Tamandua tetradactyla: one gene and its partner. The protein of the gene in region 1 interacts with the protein of each later gene in a pairwise test. Links are inferred from orthologs where the notes say so. Each region holds a gene or a part of one and is shown on either strand. Other genes may lie near its edges.

Region 1 (10,030 bases):
AGAGGATAATTGCATAGTGTGATACCTTTTAATGGCGTTCACAAATAGACAAGACTACTGATGGCTGCTAAAGCACTAGGTGAAAAGCAAACAGAGAATTTTATAATGAATTAATCAGGCTAATGTCAGCTTAGTCCGCTGAATATTCCTAACATCGCTAACGAGAGAGATCAGACATTCTGTGCTTCCCAATGCGATGCAAAAGGAAGCACCTGGCACCAGTTATCAGGTCTTCTTGCAAAGTAAAGCTGAGCACACTTGTAGATCTAGTTTACAAAAAATAAGGGGTCAAGAGGGACATGTCAAAACCCCACCACAATAAGCCAACTCCTAACTAAGAAATCCACACTTAGTAAGATAACTAACCTGGTTTCCTTACAAGAAATAGCAAGGAAAAAATTTCAGGAAAGAGGGGGAAACTACTTAGCAAGAGCGATCTAAGACAAATGTCAATCTAACCAACGCGTGGACCTCATTTGGATCTCAACAAACAAAACCCATTTATGAACTAATTAAGGAATCATGAACAGCAACCAGATATTTTATAGGATTTAGGAATCATCGGTAAACTTTTTTTGGTGTGAAAATAGTAATGGAGTGGTAGAAAGAAGAGGCCTAGTACCTAGAGATGCAGGTGGAAATATTTATAGATAAAATGATATGATGTCTGGGATTTAGCTTTAAAATAATCCAGTAGGTATGTACTGGAGTGAGGCTAGAGCAAGGAAATAAAAAACTGCAAACTAGTGACAATTAAACAACAAATAGAATGTTAAACCCAGTGTCCAGGATGGTGGTGGCCTCTGTGAAAAGGGTCAAGGGATGGCATGGGAAATAACCCTGGGAGTAAGTTATAGGTAGTATTAGGCAGTGAATGAATGGGCGCAAAATGAATGGGGGAGGGGGGAGGAAAGTGTGGCCAGTGAACCCAGGCTGTGGTGGAGGGGGGCTGGGGGAGGCCGGCCAGCTCCATCTCACCTTGCTGTCAGAGTCCACGCGTTCGTCCACAGAGTAGGAATCATAGTAGAGACTGAAGTCATCTCCCACCACTGTCTCCCACTCCTCCAGGGGCCCAGGGTCCCCCTTCTCCAGAGTCACTTCTCCTGAGCCCCGGGCAGAAGCCAACTCATCCGACTAGAAAAAGAGCAGAAAAACTGACGTCGCTGGCACTCCTCACCAACTTTCACCTCCCCTGAGCACCCAGAGTCGGGTCCCAGGCCTGGGCACCCCTGAAGCAGCCCCACCCCAACCCCAGGTGGAGAGGCTTCGCTCCCTGCCTCTCCTGGCTCACCAGGCTGCCTCTAGAGTTCAGTTTCCTCCTTTTGACGGCATCTGGAAGGAGAGAGGAGTGAGGCTTGTACTCGAAATCCTGCGGACAGGCCACATCAGGCTGCAGTGGGTGGGGGGTGGGACTGACCTGAGGTCACCTTCCCCAGGGAGTGCACGTCATCACTCATGCGGAAATGCTGCACTTCAGGGGGCCGCTTCTCGGGGACAGGGGGCTGGGGGCCGAGAGGGAGCACACTTAGGAGAAGGGAATACCTACAGTTCTGCACAGTAGCCTGGAGCCCTTGGTGGGGCTGGATTGGCGGGCCACACCCTTAAAAATGCCATCTGGGTCTCCAGGAACGAGTATGTAGCAATACCAAGGGCTGTTTGCCTCAGAGGAGGATGTCAAGCACATCCCCCACCACCAACCATCACTTATCTTTCAGCCACCCAGATGCAGGGGTCGTTCTCCCATTTTTAAGATGAGAAAACAAACTTTACAGATTAAAGATCCTCGTTGATGGTCACACGTTATGAATGTAATCAATACCAGCAAGTTGAGCAATTCAAAGTGGTTAAAATGGGAAATGTTACATTGTATATATTTTAACACACACACACACACACACACACACACACACACACACACACACAAGATGAAAGACCTGACTGAGGCTGCCCAAACCACAGCCAGGACAGAATGTTATCAAGAGTCCTTAAAACCCGGCCATAAAGTTTCTGAGATTCTGGGGCCATTGTCATTTCCCTCCACTCATTTCTGTAGTCCTTCCTCATAGGGATTCCCAGGAATTTAAAACGGAGCAGGGGCAGCTTCAAAGAAAGGAGAAAAAAAATTCCCCTGGGGGCTGGCTTTGAGGCAGAAAGGAAGGGTGGTTTCAAGTTCCTTTACATAGTCATTATCATAAAGGTAAGTAAGACCTTTGACTATATAATTAACTCTTTAAACCTGTCTCTGTCTTCCTCTCCAAGGACGTGAAACTCCAGAAAGACACAAAGACGTGTGTTCAAGAATTAAGCTCCCTGGCCCAGTCCCTTGAAACCATATGTGAACACGTGACTGAACTAGAAGACGCCTGAAACCAAGTTGTAAAAAAAGCCCACAAGAGTTTCCTGGCAGTTGATCGCCCCACCCCCCACCCCCCACTTCTTACCTGTCCATTGGCAGGTTTAGACATGGTTTTCCGGGCTCGGTGAACCTTGGGCTGCCCCTCTGGACTGGGGGTGGCCGGAGGGGGCTCAGGCCCTGCTGCTGTTGCTCCCTGGGCACCTGGCATGCTCAGCAGCCTCATAGCTAAGCTCTGGACTGAGGGGGGGGACTTGCCAGCCCCTGTCATTGACATCTTGGCCCGGCTGGGACAGGCGCCCCCCTTGCTGGGGGAGGAGGGGAATGACTTTGTGGCATGGCCTAAAAAACAGTCAGGCAGACAGGCAGAAGGCAAGATAAGAGCGAAGGCAGAGTCAAAGGCTGCCCCGCCCCCACCTCCACCCCCCCACCACCCCCAGCCTCTCACCCAGCAGGATGCGGCCACCATGGAGGTCCCCATCTCCTTCGAGGCTCTCGGGTTCATCCCCAATGAGCGGTGTGGCCCCCACAGGGGTATCAGCCCTCTCATCGCCAACGGTGACAGTGACAGAGGCTGGGGATGAGGGGCCAGCTGGCTCCAGGGGGTCGGGGGTGGTCTTGGACAGGGTCTCCTCACTACGAGGGGTGTCCCCCAAAGAGCCATGAACTAAAGAGGAAGAGAAAAAAGTACAGAGCTAAGGGCTATATTGGGGGAGGTGAAGGTCCAACTGGGCCCGTTTCAGCTGCACACTCACCTCTCTCGGCGGCTCCTCTGGGCTCCTTCTCCAGCAGCAGTGCCCCCACCTCAGCGGGGGTCTCCCCCTGGGAGGGGAGACAAGGGACGGGAGGGCTGGTCAGGCCGGTAGGGAGTTGGGGGGCCCAGGACGCCTGGGCTCTGGGAAGAGACAGCAGGCTCCGGGGCCTACCTCTTCCCCTATGGGCCCCCCCCCCTTCCGCGGCCTCGGCTGCCCGGAGGGGCCGCACGACCCCTCCCCCGGGCCCGCATCAGCCCCCTCCCTCTCGGCAGACCCCGCATCTCTGGGGCCGAGAGGAGAGGAGGGGGAGGGGGCGGGGCCTCCGCGCCCCGGCCCCGCCCCCTCCTCCCGGCTGCACGCGCCGCTCCCCCTTTGTCCCCCAGGCCGCGGGGACCCCGGGCACCAACCCCTCCAGCGCCCGCTGCCCCCCAGCCTGGCGGACGGCCCCTCGTGCCCCTCGCGCGTGTCGCTGGGGCCCCGGCGCCCGCCGCCCACTCGGGGGCAGCCGGCGGCTGCACGCGCGCCTCCGTGCCCACTCCCCCCACCTCCCACCCCCTGGTCCCCTCATCCGCCCCCGGTGTTGGCCCCCCAGATTGCTGCAAGTCCCGCCCGGGCCCCCCGGCCCCGTTGCACCCCCGGAGCATTGCACGGGCGCGCGCTTCCCCCGGGCGCGCGCGCGGGCATGCACCCGCCTCTCCCCCTCCCCTTCCGCACCTCGGCGGCCGCCACCGCTGCAGCTCCCGCCGCCGCCGCCATCGCCGCTCGCGCGGGGGGCCGAGCCGGCGCGCGGCCGCCCCGGGTCACGTGGGCGGGGGGAGGGAGGGCGAGGAGGGGTCTTAAAGGCGCCGCACAGCGCTTTTCTGGCCATTTTCCCCCGAGAGCTGCCTTGGAGATGGCGGTGGTTGTTCTAAGCTCCAGGCCGTAGGCGACAATTGCTGCCCTTCCTGGCCTCAGCTCTGCGGAGAACCGAGGGCGACGCACGCCTGGGCCCAAGTGTGGCCTTTCCGTGCGTACCTGGTTTTAGGTAACAAACGGAGAGTCTGACCCTCCTGATTCTTGGCCTCGGCTGTATTTTTATCCGGCCCGCGTGTGCTTCTCCCACTTCTGGTTGCTCTTTTCTCTTTCTGGTTTCTGGGTCACCAGACTAGAAGGCTCAGCCGTAATTTTGGCCTCGCTTCTCTAAGGAGCAAGAAGGGGGCGATGGGGATGCGCCGAGAACACTTACACGCTCTGCTAGTGTGGCCTTGCTGCTTCTTGTCCCCTCTAGTAGCGTCCCCTTTTGAAAACCTGAGACTAAATGTCTCTTGTGTTTATGCTGGGCATGTTACTGCATCACATGCACTAGGGATCCAGGTAAGCCCCAGCAGCCCAAGAATCATTACTACCAATTGACACTGCATTTACCCTTTTTTTCACTTCCTAAACACTTCACAAGCAAAATCAGACACTCCATGAGTCATAGCCTAGCTATCAATGAAAGTAGGAATGATATTGCACCAAAATGTACAACCTCGAGCACTAAAGTACCACCCCTTTAGGTATGGCATTCTGGCTAAATTTGGAAGATAACGATTTCACAGGAAGTATTGGACACAGGTAGGTGGTTGAGATAAGGGGCACCTGAGGCCAATTCAAGGCCTTCTGGGAACTGTAGTTCTCTTTGGTTAAGACCTATTCCATAGCTTTCTGGGAATTGTAGTCTTCCTTGCACCAGAACCCAAATGTAGCGGTTGTTCACTTTTCCCTGGAAACTGTACCTACTACCTAGACAAAAATTGCCCAAACCCGGAATTCTGCTTATAATTCAGTGGACATACTGACCCCCCTGTATAACCTATCCCTAGTCCTAATACCGAACTCATCAAATAGAAAAGCAACTCAGGTGCATCCCAGCCACTACCAAACAACCACTGCACTTGTGGTGCTATGGGGTATCTTGCAAGGTGCTGAGGTTACAGAACTGACAAGAGTCCCTGGCGAGAGGAGCACACTTGTTACACTCTCCCTTCCCTGTTACAGGCTGGGGTCCTTCGGGGATGGGACCTGCAGGAGTTGTGATCTCCAGGTATTGAGCATGCCACATTAGAGGGAGAGGCTGTCTAGGGTGGGGCAGTCAGAGAACTGAATAAAGAAAAAGGGTTGGTCATAGACACGCAGTTGCCAGAGTATAAAGAAAAAAAGGTGGTTTTTTTTTTTATTTTTTGTTGAAAATAAAAGCAGAAAAACTAAAACCCCAAACTCCAGAAAAAATCCTAAAAAATACGTTTTGTTTTTTTAAAAAATACTGTATAAGTCTCTACTCCTTCCCCCCCCAACAGCCCTTGTGTCCTCTCTTCTAAGTGCCCTCCCCCCACCCCTGCCACTATTCACACTGTTCTCGCTATTATACCCCCACTTCCCAATATCTACCCAGGATGCTCACCTCCATATTCTCTTACCTGACTTCTTACTTCGTTCTCCCTAGAATTTTGGAGAGCCTTGTACCCAAAGTCCCCAACCCCCAGCATGCAAGAACCGTTTCCCCGTTTCTTTTCTGGGATTCAATACTCTTCTCCCCTACCATTCCCTCTGCTGAGGGTCTATTCTAAACAGGAGCATGTAGGCTGCCTCCTGCCCAGTTCCCTCCCGATTCCCACCCACCCAAACCCACCTCATGAAATGTCAGAATCTCCTCCTGGGCAGCCTTTAACCCAGAATAACACAAGCTCCAGTCTTTTTTCTCCTCATTCTATAGGACCCTCCCCCTCCCTCCATATATCCATGCACTTCTTAGAGACAATCTTTCTCTGGGACTCCGGATCCCCTGACCTCAAAAAACCCTCTCCCCATCTCCTTCATTCTCCCCCCCACTCCCCGCTGTGAAGAGGCAGGGTCTTCTCTCCAAGGAATCTTCGGCCCCTCCCTCAGGATATGTCTGGCTAGGTTCCCCGCCATACTTTCCTGCCCCAGACCCCCCCCCCCCCATTCTCCTAGACCCTTCCCACCGAGCCCAGGGGCCCCGGGCCCACTAGCGGATGAGGACGTTGATCTCAGCCACGCTGGCCTCCAGCACGTTCTCGGCGGTGGTCTTGCCGTGCTGCTCCTTGAGGTGCCGCCTAATGGCGGGCTTGTGGGCGAAGCGCACGTCGCAGTAAGAGCAGCGGTAGGGCCGAGCTCCCGAGTGCAGGTTGAGGTGGTCGTGCAGCGTGGACTTCTGCGTGAAGCACTTGCCGCAGATGCCGCACGAGTGCGACTTCACGCCGCGGTGCACGTTCATGTGGCGGTTGAGGTTGCTGCTGTGGTTGAACTGCTTACCGCAGCGCGGGCACATGAAAATGAAGTGTTGCGCCCGCATGTGGAAGACCAGCTTCTCCACGCCCTGGAACACTTCCGGGCACTTGGTGCACTTGATGTTCTTCAGGGGGTTCCCACCCGAGAAACCCCCGGGCAGGGGCCCCCGGCTGCCCCCCGCCCCCAGGCTGCCCCCCGCCCCCCGGGCAGCCATGGCCACTGCTGCCGCCTCCACCAGACCCGAAGTGGCCCCCACGCTGGCCCGGCCCCCTGGGATCAACAGCAGGCCCTCCCCTTCTGCATCCTCAGAAAGGCTGTAGCATGCCTTCACCACACCCTGCGGCGGGGCCACGGCACTGGGGGGCATGCTGCTTTTGGCCAGCTCCCCGAGATGGCCGCTCACGGATCCTCCGATGCCCAGACCTCCTCCCAGGCCTCCGGGGGGTTTGAGCCGGTGCGCCACCTCCAGGGCGGACTCCACCTTGACAATGCAGATGTCAGACACGTCTTCGTCCTCATCCTCGTCCTCCTCCTCCGCCTTCAGCTCCAGGTCCTCATCCAGCGGGAACTCCAGCTTCACAGGGCGCAGGAGCGGAGGGGGCAGAGGAGGTGGAGGAGGGGGTTTGGGGGCCGGCTTTGGGGTCCTGGCAGGAGGTAGGAGGGACTTGGTAGCGCTGACACCGCTCACGAGGCTGGCCTCGCTGACCCCGTCCTCTTTGAGGCCAATCTTGGGCTCGATGAACTGGCTGAGGGCGTTCCGGCATTTCTCCACCACGTGCTCCATCTGCAGGTAGGAGGCAGCCGTCAGATAGTTGACGATGTCCCTGACGGCAAATTCCAGGGCACCAGTGTAGCAGGAGAGGAGCAGGTCCGCCACGATGCGCGCACTGTGCATCAACGAGACCTGCAGCTCAGAGCTGGGGTTCAGCAGGAACTGGTCCCGCAGGAACGGCGAGCAGGCGGCCAGGATGACCTTGTGGCCGCGGAACTTGAGGCTGTCGGCCACAATGGTCACGTCGCAGAACCGCTCCTCTGCGCGGAGCTGGTTCATGTTCCGCAGTGTAGCGGCCTCATGGCCCGGCAGCTGGAAGCGCAGGACTTCCACCCCAGAGGCCATTGTGGCGGAGGGGGCAACCCTAGTTGGGAAGGAAAATGGTCAGAGACAAAGGTCTCTGGCTCTCCGAAGCCGTGGCTCTAGGCCCCGCACCTCCATTCTTGCTCGACCTCCTATCCCCAACACCCTATCCACAAGACTTCAGGACTCTTCCTCAGTTTCCCCAGTGCCAGGGGAGTCGCTGGGCCCCTGCGAGAAGGAGGCGTGGTTGCCGGGGGCGGGGCCGCCGGCGAGCATCGGGCAAGCCCGCGAGCCCACTGGGGAGGAACTGAGGGAGGGGGGGTAGAGACCTGGGACTCTGGGCTCCGGGGCGGCCCGGGTTGCAGGTTCTTCTCACCCCGCCCCCTTTACCCGCAGCCTCGTTCCTCCGCCCCCCCTTTGCACGTTTGCACGCGCCTTTCACGTTCCCCCCTCCTGCCGTCTGCACGCATCGTGCACGCCACCCCCCAGGTCCGTGGCACGCCCCCCAGCCCCACGACCCTAAATGCACGCGCCTCTCACCTGGCAGGGTTCCGCGCGCTGTTTTTTCCCCCCTATTTCCCCCACCCCCCCGGGGCTGGCGGCGCCCCCCACACACGGGCAGGGCCTGGGCAACGCGCAGGCGCGGGGGTGCACGGGGCGCGCGCGCGTGGCCGGCTCCGCGTGGGTGTAAGGGGGAGGGGCGGGGGCGGCTCGTGCCGTGTGTCCCAGGCCCCGCGCGCGGCGGCGGCGGCGGCGAGGACTCGGGGAGGAGGAAGAGGGGAGGGAATTAAAGGAGCAGGATCCCCCCTTCCCGACCCCCCTTTCTTCACCAGCCCCCCCTGACGCGGTTAAAGGGGCCGGACGGCCTTGCCTCCCCTTTGGCCGAGATTATTTGTCCGCCAGAGCGGAAATACGTTCCACTCCCCGCTCTTTCTCGCTCCCCCTCCTCTGTGCCTCCAGGCCCCGCGGTCCGTCTGCGCGTGCGTGCCAAGTGCCGCGCGGAGGCTCGCTTGCTCCGGCCCGCCTCCTGCTCCCGGCGGCCAGCGGCGCTACCCGCTCCGCACCCCGCCTTCCAGCTTTGAGCGTCCGCCTGGCTCCCAGTGGGCCTGGCATCCCGCTGGCCTGGCTGCCACCTGCTCCCAGAAGTGGTGCCGCTTTGGTCCACCTGTGCGGCGCTGGAGACCGTGGTAGAATCGCGGCCTATCCCAGGGCCCTAAACCGCCCGGCGAGTATCGGAGCTGTTGATCGCTGTTTCCACGCGTGTATCTCCTTTTGAGTGTGTTCCCAGTTCCTCCAGCCACACTTCCAGATTTTTCCCACTCTTCTGAAGCTAGCAACCACCCCCGCCCTTCTAGCTGATAACTTCGCTTTCCACGAAGCCTGACAATTCAGTGCCCTCAACTTTCCTCCCCTCCATCTCACAATCGCTTAAAATCACATCCATCCTCTCCTCCCGTCCAGTCTCAGAATTAAGCCCAACTTCTTGCCAAGACAAACGCCCTTCACTTGCACTATGACCTTGCCTATTTCACTCCTACTATATAATTAGCCCTAGCACTAATTCTTCTAATTATACGATTATTTATATTACTATGATCCCACTATCTTTCTTCTTTCGGTTGCAATTGCCCCTCCACCCACCTCCCTTCCTCAGACTGACGCCTTAAACAAACTTCCCCTCAACTCTGCTCCTTTGCCTTCTCTTTGTAACTCCCTAACTGTACTAAAGTCTCCCTTCCCCTCCTCTTCCTTGCACTCCTCACACCTACACTCACTTCTCCATTCATCCAAGTCCAGGTGAAGATGCTCCTGTTTCCTACCAATTGGATTTGCTTATTACGTCTTCTAGAAGACTAGAGCATTTTTCTTATACCTCAATTCTGATGAAGATGCATTATAGAGTTCAATGTCTGGTTTTCCCATTAAATTGTAAACTTGATTGAAGGAATTATGTGGTAGCTTATGTTCTGCAAATAGAAGTCTCGCAAAAAAAGGCTAACTGTTGAGGTCATCCTCTTCAGTTCAGCCAGAATCCATCCATAAAAAGTTTATTCCTGACTTAAACTAAATTCCCAAAATCAAAGGATGTTCTTTGGTGGGAGGGCTGGGGCAGTGCTTGGGTGGTGCCTTGACTCTTTGCCTTTCACTTATAAATTCTCTGACTTTTACACCTCCTGTTGCTTTCTATTCTAAAATGCCACCTTCCCTTTCTCTCCTTTGTGGTCAGGCAGTGTGGATTCGAGGGAAAACATAGGGGCTTTTGAGTCAGACACACCTTGGCTCAAAGCTTTATCTCACTATTTACTAAAGGAGGGCTCTTGGGCAAGGTACTTTGTTTTCTGATAAACCTCTTTATCTTTGAATTGAAGGTAAAGATTCCTCCTGGGACTAATGTGAGGTTTAAATGATCCTGGCATACAGTAGGTGCTTAATCAACACTAGTTCCCTTTCCCTTTTCCCTAGGTGGGAGATGGACTGAAATTTTCAAAAGAATTTTTAACTAAAAATAATTTCACTATCCCACCTTCTCATTCCTCATTGCCAGACTTCTCAAAAGAATAGTCCACACTCCAGTGA
Region 2 (9,566 bases), on another chromosome or scaffold:
GATGGGAGATGTAGACAGATTCAAAAGATACTTAGGAAGTAAAATCAATAGGACTGGGTGGTAGATTGCCTGTGAGGGGGTATAGAAGAAGGGTGTTAAGATGACTTCTGGGTATCCACTGGCATGTTGTACTGTTTGAAGCTGTTAGAACAGAAAAAGCCATGTTCTAATCTAATCTTGTGGATGCAGACCTATTGTGGGTGGGACCTTTTGATTGGGTTGTTTCCCTTGGGTATCACCCACTCAATTGAAAGTGGGTTTTAATCCTTTTACTGAAATCCTCTATGACGAGAAAAAAAACCAGAAAACAGAGAGAACTCAGAGCCGACACAGAGAACAGAGAGATGAAACTAAGTGAAAGATGCTTAGAGAAAGAAAACCCCCACCAGAAGCCAGAGGACCCACAGTTGCTGAGAGATCCATTTTGAAACCAGCCCTGAAGAGAAGGGCCAGTATATAGCACCATGTTCTTCCTGTGTGTGCCAATTTGAAAGTGTAGTGTACCTGAGAAAAGACATGTCCTTTAATCTGGATTCAATATCGTAGTGTAAAAACCCTTTTGACTAGATCATCTCCAGAGATGTGATGCCCCAGTTGTGGGTGTGACCTTTTGATGAAATTATCTTTGCGAAGATATGGCATGCCCATTTGTCAGGTGTGGCCTTTGGTTAGATGGAGATGTGACTCTGCCCATTCAAGGGGGGTGGGTATTGATTAGTTTACTGGAGTCCTTTAAAATCAGAAATGTTTTGAAGAAACCTTGGATGCAGATGCTTGGAGAACAGTTGCTTCAGAGCTACAGAGACATGGATGTTGGGAGATGCTTGGAGTGCCAACAGAGAGAGCAGATGTCTAGACACAGGTAGAGTCCAGCAGACATCGCCACATGCTTTCCCATTAAATGCTAAGCAAGCAAGAACCCAGAGCTGTGTCCCAAAGGAGCTAAATGAATGCCCACAGACACTTAGAGAGGAAACCACTGGCATCAGGAGCTGGAAGCAACGGAACTGGGAACAAAGACCAGCAGATGCCAGCCACATACCTTTCTAGCTGACAGAGGTGTTCCAGATGGCATCAGCCTTTCTTGAAGGAAGGTAACCTCTTGTTGGCGCCTGAATTTGGGCATTTTCATGGCCTAAGAACTGTAAACTTGTAATGTAATAAATTCCATTTATGAAGCCATTCCATTTCTGGTATATTGCATTCCAGCAGCATTAGCTAACTAATATACCATAAGACAGAAATCCCAAAAGTGATCAGCCTTTTTGAATGAAGGTATCCTCTTGTTGTCTCAATTTGGGCATTTTCATGGCATTAGAATTGTAAATATGTAACCTAATAAATCCCTCTTGTAAAAGCCAATCCATTTCTGGTATATTGCCTTCTGGCATCATCAGCAAACCAAAACACACATGTAGATCAAGGTTCTCAGTGGTGGCACTACTGATACTTTGTAGAAGGCTATCTTGTGTGTTATAGCATATGTAGCAGCATCACTGGCCTCTATCCACTCAATGCCAGTAAGCCCCACCCCCAATCATGACAGCCAATGATGTCTCCAGACATTACCAAATGTCCCCTGAGGGAGGAACTGCCCCAAGTTAAGAACCACTGGTCTGGTTGGATGCTGGCTGGTATCATTTACCAAGACCATGAACACTGGAATTCCAGTGTTCATTACCTATGTATCAATAGGTACAATTGATACATTACCTATGTATCAGCAGGTTAATTAGGGCTTGGGCTATAGAATGTAACTAAAAGTTGCCTCAATAACACAGACATTAAATTCTCTCACATGACAATAAGTCAAGGGGGATTAATTCAGTAGCTCTGTGGGTATCTTAGCTTTCCCCTCATGATCAAAGATGGCTGCCACATCTTCAAGCATCACATCTTCACATAACACCTTCCAAACAGGTTCTGGAAGCTTATTCTCATAAGGGTCTCCTTTTGTCAGGGAGAAAAATATTTTCCATAAATAAATACAGCACACTTCTCTTCAGATTCCACTGGCCAGAACTAGGTCACAGACCTACTCCTCAACCAGGCACTAGCCAAAAGGACTGAGACTGCAATGACTGGCAGGGAGCAATGACGGTTCTTCCACTGATCCCAGGAGGGGCATCCTTCTTGAGCATATGCTGCCCAGAAGCCAAGCCAGACAGGGCTGCTGTTAACAAAGACAAAGGGTGAAGCAGCTGCTGCAAGGACCAAGCTTAAGGTATTTCATACAGCCATGATTTATTGAACACCTAACCATGGACAAGACACTGTGCTAAGTGTTAGGGAAGAAAACAAGACCTAGGCACCACTTTTATCATCTCACTCTGCTGCTTAAAAACATTCAGTGAAGGGAGCCTCATCCTCCTTCTGTTTCACTATTTCAAAGCCCTTGGGTTTTTCAAGGTATACATGTTCATGGCTGCTTGCTGCCCCAAAGCTTCCTCTCCCCTCTTGAGCTGAGAATGAATGACTTCTTCTAAATTCATAGAACACATTTATTCATTTTACAAATATTCGGGTTGAGCCTCTGGGCCCTGGGAATTCAATTTTGCTAAAAAGACAAGGTCCCTGCTCTCACAGTTTCCATCCTGGTGCCACAGAAAGATAACTAAATAGTCAACTACAAAAAGGCATGAAAAATGTTATAAGAGGTAAAACATGGGTACTGTCAGAGCATCAAGAAGGAAACCTCAACTCATCTGTAGGTGGGGTGGGAGTGAAGTTGAGAGAACACATATTTGGAAAGAAACATAATTTAAGTCGAGACTTGAAGGATGAACAGAATTCAGGGAAATGAGAATGGAGGTCAGAAGTTGGGGGAGGGCGGGCAATAGCGGCCCAGTGGCAGAGTTCTTGCCTGCCATGCCGGAGACCTGGGTTAGATTCCAGGTGCCTGCCCATGCAAAAAAAAAGTTGGGGGAGAAAGCAAGGAAGCTATACTACCTAGGAAAATGAGCATGTGCAAAAGGCCAGAGATGAGAAGAAGGAGGTGGAAAAATGCTCATTAACGCAAGAAGAGTGAGAAAGGGAGACCAAGGAAAGATGAGCCTGCAATATAGATACAGGCCAGGCCATGTAAGGTGGTAAGCCCTTGGACTTTATCCTAAAGGAATTCACTGAAGGGACTGACATGTGTGGGTATGCATTTTAGAAAAGACACTCTTACTCCATTGTTTCAATACCTTTCCACACTTTAGCCATGCTACAAACATGGTGATCAACAACAGGACACTGCAGCAATAGGGTGGACCAAGGTAGTGGTCAAGAAGTGGGTATGTGACTAAGCAGGTCCAGGATTCAGTGAATGATGAGCTGTGAGGAGTTCAGAAAGAAAAGGAGTCAAGGATGACACAGTTGTAGTTCTGGTCTGAGCAACTGGACGGATGGATGGTGGTGTCCTTCACTGAGTTAGTGAGCACTGGATGGACTTATTGTACAAGTTACCTTGAGGTGCCTCCCACAGGGCACTGAACACAGTGTGTTCATTAATTAACCTCCTTTTTATGGCTTTCCTCCTCCCTCTCAGGCCTTCCATATCAAAGCCCCTCCCTACTTATCTTGGATCACATTTCTCAGATAGACCTACTTCACTCTTCTCCCTTGGGTCCCCACCCACATGAACACTGTAACAACAACACCAAAAAATGGTTTATATGTTACAGGTTCTCATCACTATGTGTCTCTTAAATGCAGCCTGTATTTTTGGAGCATCTACTATGAACCAGGCACTGAAATGTAAACAATACCATCAGTCATCATTAGCATGATTTTTCGGCTTACACAATTCAAAGGCATCCAATCAGACATTTAATAATGTCAGTGATCAATTAATTGCAATTATAATTGACACGAACCCAGTATTTTTTGTTTTTATTCATTTATTCTTTTATTAAAAGACACACACACACAAACCTTACAACTCTTTACATTTTGAAGATTAATATTTAAATGATGGCACAAAATCCGTGTCAGTCTGGTCATTCTCCGCGTGATCTTTTATGTAAGTGCATTATTTACAATATGCAATTTCACTACTTGAGGTTACCCGGTACTAATTTTATAATACTGTGTAACTACATAATGGGGCATGGGGCTCGGAATATACAATATATAAGTAGTACCATGCCTGGATGAAGAATCAAAGAGAGAATGGTGAACTTAAAGGGCCTTTAAAACATCTTGAAGCAATAATAAGCCATAGATTGAAGCAGGGGCGTTTTAAAACAATTCGCAGGACTAAAACAATTGGCCCAATTTTTCCCTTTGTTCTTTTTATTGCCTTCTTTTTTTACAATAATACCATTTAAAAAGAAAATCAAAAGGCATCAAACTCTAGTACCAAACCATACAAAGTCCTCCAAGGACCTGGCTTGGATAGAAAGCGCCTTTCCACCGCCCTGCTTGGAACGCCCTGAAGGCCACTGAGCACGCTCGCGCTCGGTTCCAGGGAAGCAACGTGAAACTAAAGGTCCCCGATCCGAGCCCTTCCCCGGCCCCGGGTTCATGCATTGGGCAGGAGGATCCGGAACGAAGTTTGTCAAGTTTTCCCGCAGGCCGGGCTGAACAAATGCTGCCGCTCTGCAGCTGCCTTTCTGCCCCAGGGGCAGGCCAAGCCCGTGGGAGGTTTGCCCTGAGCGGGGCCTCCGGCCGCTCAAAAAAGCAACAAGGGGGTCCCGGAGCCCCGGGGCACAAAGAAAGAGCGCGCCAAGAGGATGTCGAACGACCCTGGAAATTCTGGACCATTTAGGCTTGGGGGCAACCCACCGTTCCCCTTTCCCCTCCGCCTTCTTTCCCTGAATCCGTTCCCGTCCACCCGCTCCCACACCACCGATGCCTTTTTTCTTTCTTTCTTTTTATAATTTCAGAGAGTTTTATTTACTCGGCCCAGGAGGGGCCGCGCTGGCCTTGGGGCCCAGCCCTTCCCGCCGCGCCCGGGGCCGCCCTTCCCGCCGGAGCCGGCTGATTGATGGCCCCGGCCGGCCCGCGTCCCCCGCCTCGGCTCGCCCGCGAGTCTAAGGCTGTGTGTTTTGGAAGCCGCGCAGCGGGTTGCAGCACTGTGACGCCCGGAACGGGCAGCGCCGCCCTTCCTTTCCCCCGGGCTCGGGCGGCGGCGCGGCGGCGGGTCCCAGGCGGGTGGGGCGCGGGCCCCAGGGAGGAGGGCGGAGGGCGCTGGGCGGAGGGTGCGGGGATGGGGCACGGGCGGGGCCTCCGGGGCGAGGGCGCAGGGCGTGCGCTCAGGGTCCGCCGCTCCGAGCCAGGGCGGGGGGCGGGAGCTTTTGGGGCGGGGGCCGCGCAGTGCACGCCCAGCCCCACGGCTGCGCCGCGCCTCGCGGGACAGGTTTGGCCGGCGGGGCGGCGCCCGGCTCCGGGGAATAATGACTGTCTGTCAGGCCGTCCCCGGGTGACTGGGCGGGGCGGGGCGGAGGCGGCGCGGGAGGCGGGGGTGGCGGGGGAAGGGCGCAGGGCGGGGTGCGTGTTTGCGCGAGTGACTCGGCCGACCCCTCCGGCGGCTGCCTCCACCCAAGTGGGTGGGGACCCGCCCAGCCCGGGCGGCCGCGGCGGCTCCCTCTCCCCTCCCTGACCCTCCCACCCCGGGTTCCAGCCTCTACTTACCCCGCCAGCCTCGGGAGGCTCGCAGAGAGAGCGGCGCCGGCGTCATGTGACTGCCCGGAGTTGGTGCCAGGAGCCAGAGGGGAGCCAGGAACGGAGCCGCGCGGAGCCGGGCCGGAGCCGGAGCGCAAAGCAAGCGCCCGCCGAGCCGAGCCGAACCGAACCGCGTCTGTCGCACGCGCGCGCGTCCGGGTCCCCTGCGGCCGCTGCCGCTGCCCGAACTGGAGCGCTGACATTACTGCATTCGTGGGGTTTAAGGAAGCCCGGAGCCGGGCCTTTATTTATCGTCCGCTGCGCTCAGCACCGCGGTTCTCAAAGTAAGTCCTCACTCCCTCACTTTTCTTTCACGCCTGACTCCAATCGACCCCCTTTTCGTCGTGTCTAGTTGAATATTTTTAATAGGGGGGTAGTGAATGGGCTTGGGACGGTGCAGCGTGGGGGTGGGGGCGCCTGCGGGCTTGGGAAAGTGCAACAGCTCCTCGCTGCCGGGGGTGGGGGCGGAGAGGGAGGCGAGGGGGAGGAGGCCCCGGGCTCAGCGGTCACAAGTGGGACCGGTCACGGTGAGGGAATCCACGGCGCGTATCCGGAGGTTCAGGGGCGTGGGGCTGCCTGCGCCGGCCACGGCCCCCCAGACAGCCTCCGGCCCGGGGACGGCGCAGGCGGGGCCTCACCTGTGTGGTCCCCGGGCCGCCGCCTGCCCGCCCGCGATTCCCTCCAAAGCCCCAGAAATCAGCGTTCGCCGCGTGTGGCAACGTTGTTTGGAGAAAGGTAGCGCCGAGGCCGCCGCGCGCTCCTGCTCCTCCCCTTCCCGGTTCCCCCCCCCCCCCGGCTCCCTCCCCCCCCCCCGGTTCCCCCCACTCCCGCTCCCTCCCCTCCCTCCGCGGGTGCCCCCAGCTATCCCCCTGCCGGACTGGGCGCGCGGCCGCTTGCCCGGCGGAGCAAACTTGGAGCAGCCTCCAGGCCGTCTGGGAGGAAACTTGGGCAATTGGGAGTGGAGTTAGCATCCCGTTCTCGGTCCAGGGCTCCAGGCGCTGCAGGGCGTCCGGATTCTCCTGGGCAGGGGAAAAGAGCTGGCCGGGTTTGGAGAGTCCTCCTCGGGACCCGGAAAGAACCTGCCGCAGTGCCTGGAAGGAGGATTGCAGTGTAGCTGGAGGCGTATAGAGTACCTTAGGGCAAATGCCTGCAGCTTTAGGGACCCGAGCCAGGTGTGGGCCGAGAAGTGATCCCTGGACCAGCACCCATGGGACGTACCCAGCATTTCAGGCTCTTTTTCTGTGATAGCAGATAATACTTGTAATTGTCATGTCCGTGTCCTTGGCACTTAAACGGGAGAACCCTCTTTTTCTGGTTTAAATTTTACAGTAGTGTACAATAATACCAAACGGAGAACATGTGAATGGGACTTACTTTTAAGTCAGGTTAAATGGAAATTGCTTCCCTTCTTGTAGTCACTAAAATAAACGTTTTCACAGATTTTTTTAACTGATTTTTTTTTCCATTGATACACCCAAGACGCTTTAAATATATTGATTATGTTCTTAAAAGAGTCTGGTATCTGGGGAAAAGTGATCTTCTGACTTCATTAGATTTACCATCTGTAATTACTAAGCAAAATCAAGTGGGGAAAAGGCCAGTTGCTTATTATCATAGGGTGTTCCACAGAGCAGTTTTGCACTGTCCTTTTCTGATTGCTTTATGTATGAATTTGAGGAGAAATTTTATAAGAGAAATCCGTTTAGATGATAGTGAAGACTTGCTTTGGGGTCGGAGGTGGGGAGCAGAAATCTAATAGCATTAATATCTCCAAAATTTTGTGAGTTCGTATTTTTAAAGAAAGTTGACAGATAAGTTTTTTTCTGGCTTGAGACAAGCAGTATGTGAGTTGGCCTTGGGCTATTAATAGGAACCTCAGAGTGTTTGATTAATTTAAACTTTCTGCAGAAACTGATTTCTCTGTTTCTGTATTCTTCAGGGTTTGCTGTATAACCATTAGAAAAATAAAAAAGTGGCTGCTTAGACCACAAAACCTTGTCCATATGAAAAAGCAACATAGCTTTGACAAAAGCTATTGTGTGTTTTTTTTTTCACTGCAAAGTTTCTAAGTTAAAACCCAGTCTTTTGGTTGCTATGGGCACAGTGATGCCTTTTTTTTTGAACCTGTAGTTTTGTCTACCCACAGATCCTTAAATCTCTGGTAATGAAAAGCTGAGTTAAACAGTCAGAGAGTAAAGAGAAATAATAGGAAAGAGCTAGGAGTGGATTTCTCTACTTTAAAAATTCCTAAAAGAAAACAGACCTATTACTATCTTTTAAAAGTCGGTATACAGATTGTATAACAATTTTGGATTAAGTGAAATGTCAGGGATGGAATCACATTATCCAAGGTGAATTTCTGTAGACGTGTGTACATTGAAACAGATGTGCAGCTGTGAGCGTATGTGTCTATAACTGCAGGTGGAAAAGGACAGTGAAAACTTGGGGTGACTCTAGATGTGCCACAGACCACGTCTCGGAATTTAGTTCTGTGACTGAGGGACCCTTAAAATGGATCTAATTTTCAATTATGTGTGGTAACCTAGTTGTAATCTTAATTCTTAACAGCAGTGCTCTATTTTCATTTTCCTCAAGATGCTCTGAGCCAGAATGATAATCATCATTTGATCAGGCTAGAGACCAGCTATTGGCATGGGGGAGAAAGGGACAAAAGAAATCCGGAGGGAGGCTGGTGTTAATTATGAAGGTCTCTGCTGCTTGAATATGATAAAATCACATGTTCACTTATGATGTTTACTGTATGTAGCAGCTCCTATTTGTAAATAGGGCAGGTCCCCTGTATAAAACTGGTGTTATTATTCACACCCATAGAACAAACACCTCCACCCCCCTGTTGTTGTCTTAAAAAACTCCAGCTGCTCATGAATATAGGGTCAGGGAGGGCCGGCTAAATGTTTCTCTGTGCTTTCTCTCCAGCACAGCCAGCAGAGCTGTTTCCTGTTCTTTGTTTCAAGGCTGGGGTTTGCGTCATACATTCCAAGTGGCATATGTGTGCTCTTTCCTGTTTCAGGCTGCTTTCTGGTAGATCAGTAGCCCAGTCTGGGCCATGGTCCCTGCCCCTCAACTCCATATCCACCCAGGGAGTTATCATGTCTCTAACACTTGCGATTGCTTAAGATGCCTGTGTTATGTCATAATGAGGAGTCAGTTAACCTTTTAACATATACCCTTTGCCCCAGTGTGTTTATATGGGTAAATAAATACTTTTACCTTTCATTATTATTGTTGTTGTTGTTGTTGTTGTTGTTGTTATTGTCATTGCCAGATCATTAATTTAAAAAAAATTGTGTTCATAATGGTGAAGAAATCTTTTTTTAAAAGTTGGTTTCTGTTCTTTTGTTTTTTAATTCTTGTTTTGAAATGGCTAATGTGTATGTTTGTTTTGACATAGGCATTTTGCCCTGAAGGTATCAATTTTGGATTGGTGTTAACACTTTAGAGTTTAGAATACTTTTGCATTATCTGAAAGCTGGGGCCCACCCTCTTCACATCCTGGGCAGCAGGCTCAAGGTTTAGGAGGCTTCTTTAGATGGGGAATTTAAACAATCTTGGCCAACTTGGATGTGCTCACTTAGGTTTTAAAGAAGAAATCTTTAGAAAAATGATTGAAGGAGAACATTGAATATATTGAGAAAATCCCATTCTTTTTAAAGGCAAAGATTTAAAGACCAGGATAAGTTGTTTTTTTTGAGGACAAAGATTTTAACTCATTCTAGAGCTGATATCCCACCTGTTTCGAGAATAAAAAACTGGAAAAAAAGAAGTAGAAATTTAAAAATCCATTCAATGATAGTTTGGAAAATTTTAATCTTATGTTTTGAATACAGAAGGAGAATTCTCTCATTTTTTTACAAGGACAACTTTTTCATAATTCCCATCCCCCTCCCTTTTTTTTT

What was found.
Region 2: the proteins of EHMT2 (region 1) and KLF3 interact in binary tests that used the Homo sapiens proteins (3 or more experiments, as listed by UniProt). The two-hybrid records come from large-scale screens. The link is inferred for Tamandua tetradactyla from reciprocal best matches to the Homo sapiens genes EHMT2 and KLF3.

The regions. Positions count from the first base shown.
Region 1 is NC_135331.1:87,474,279-87,484,308, forward strand, and holds the start of EHMT2 (histone-lysine N-methyltransferase EHMT2), read right to left. Parts: upstream 3,873-10,030; 5' UTR 3,865-3,872; coding exon 3,823-3,864; intron 3,176-3,822; coding exon 3,109-3,175; intron 3,021-3,108; coding exon 2,802-3,020; intron 2,696-2,801; coding exon 2,442-2,695; intron 1,503-2,441; coding exon 1,418-1,502; intron 1,333-1,417; coding exon 1,292-1,332; intron 1,135-1,291; coding exon 979-1,134; intron 1-978. Other genes in the region: ZBTB12 (zinc finger and BTB domain-containing protein 12), read right to left, coding at 6,116-7,495. UniProt on the Homo sapiens protein: Histone methyltransferase that specifically mono- and dimethylates 'Lys-9' of histone H3 (H3K9me1 and H3K9me2, respectively) in euchromatin.
Region 2 is NC_135345.1:40,245,644-40,255,209, forward strand, and holds the start of KLF3 (Krueppel-like factor 3), read left to right. Parts: upstream 1-5,507; 5' UTR 5,508-5,619; coding exon of another isoform or gene 5,620-5,852; 5' UTR 5,853-5,933; exon of another isoform or gene 5,934-6,373; intron 6,374-9,566. Other genes in the region: uncharacterized protein LOC143663134, read right to left, coding at 5,620-5,852. UniProt on the Homo sapiens protein: Binds to the CACCC box of erythroid cell-expressed genes. May play a role in hematopoiesis.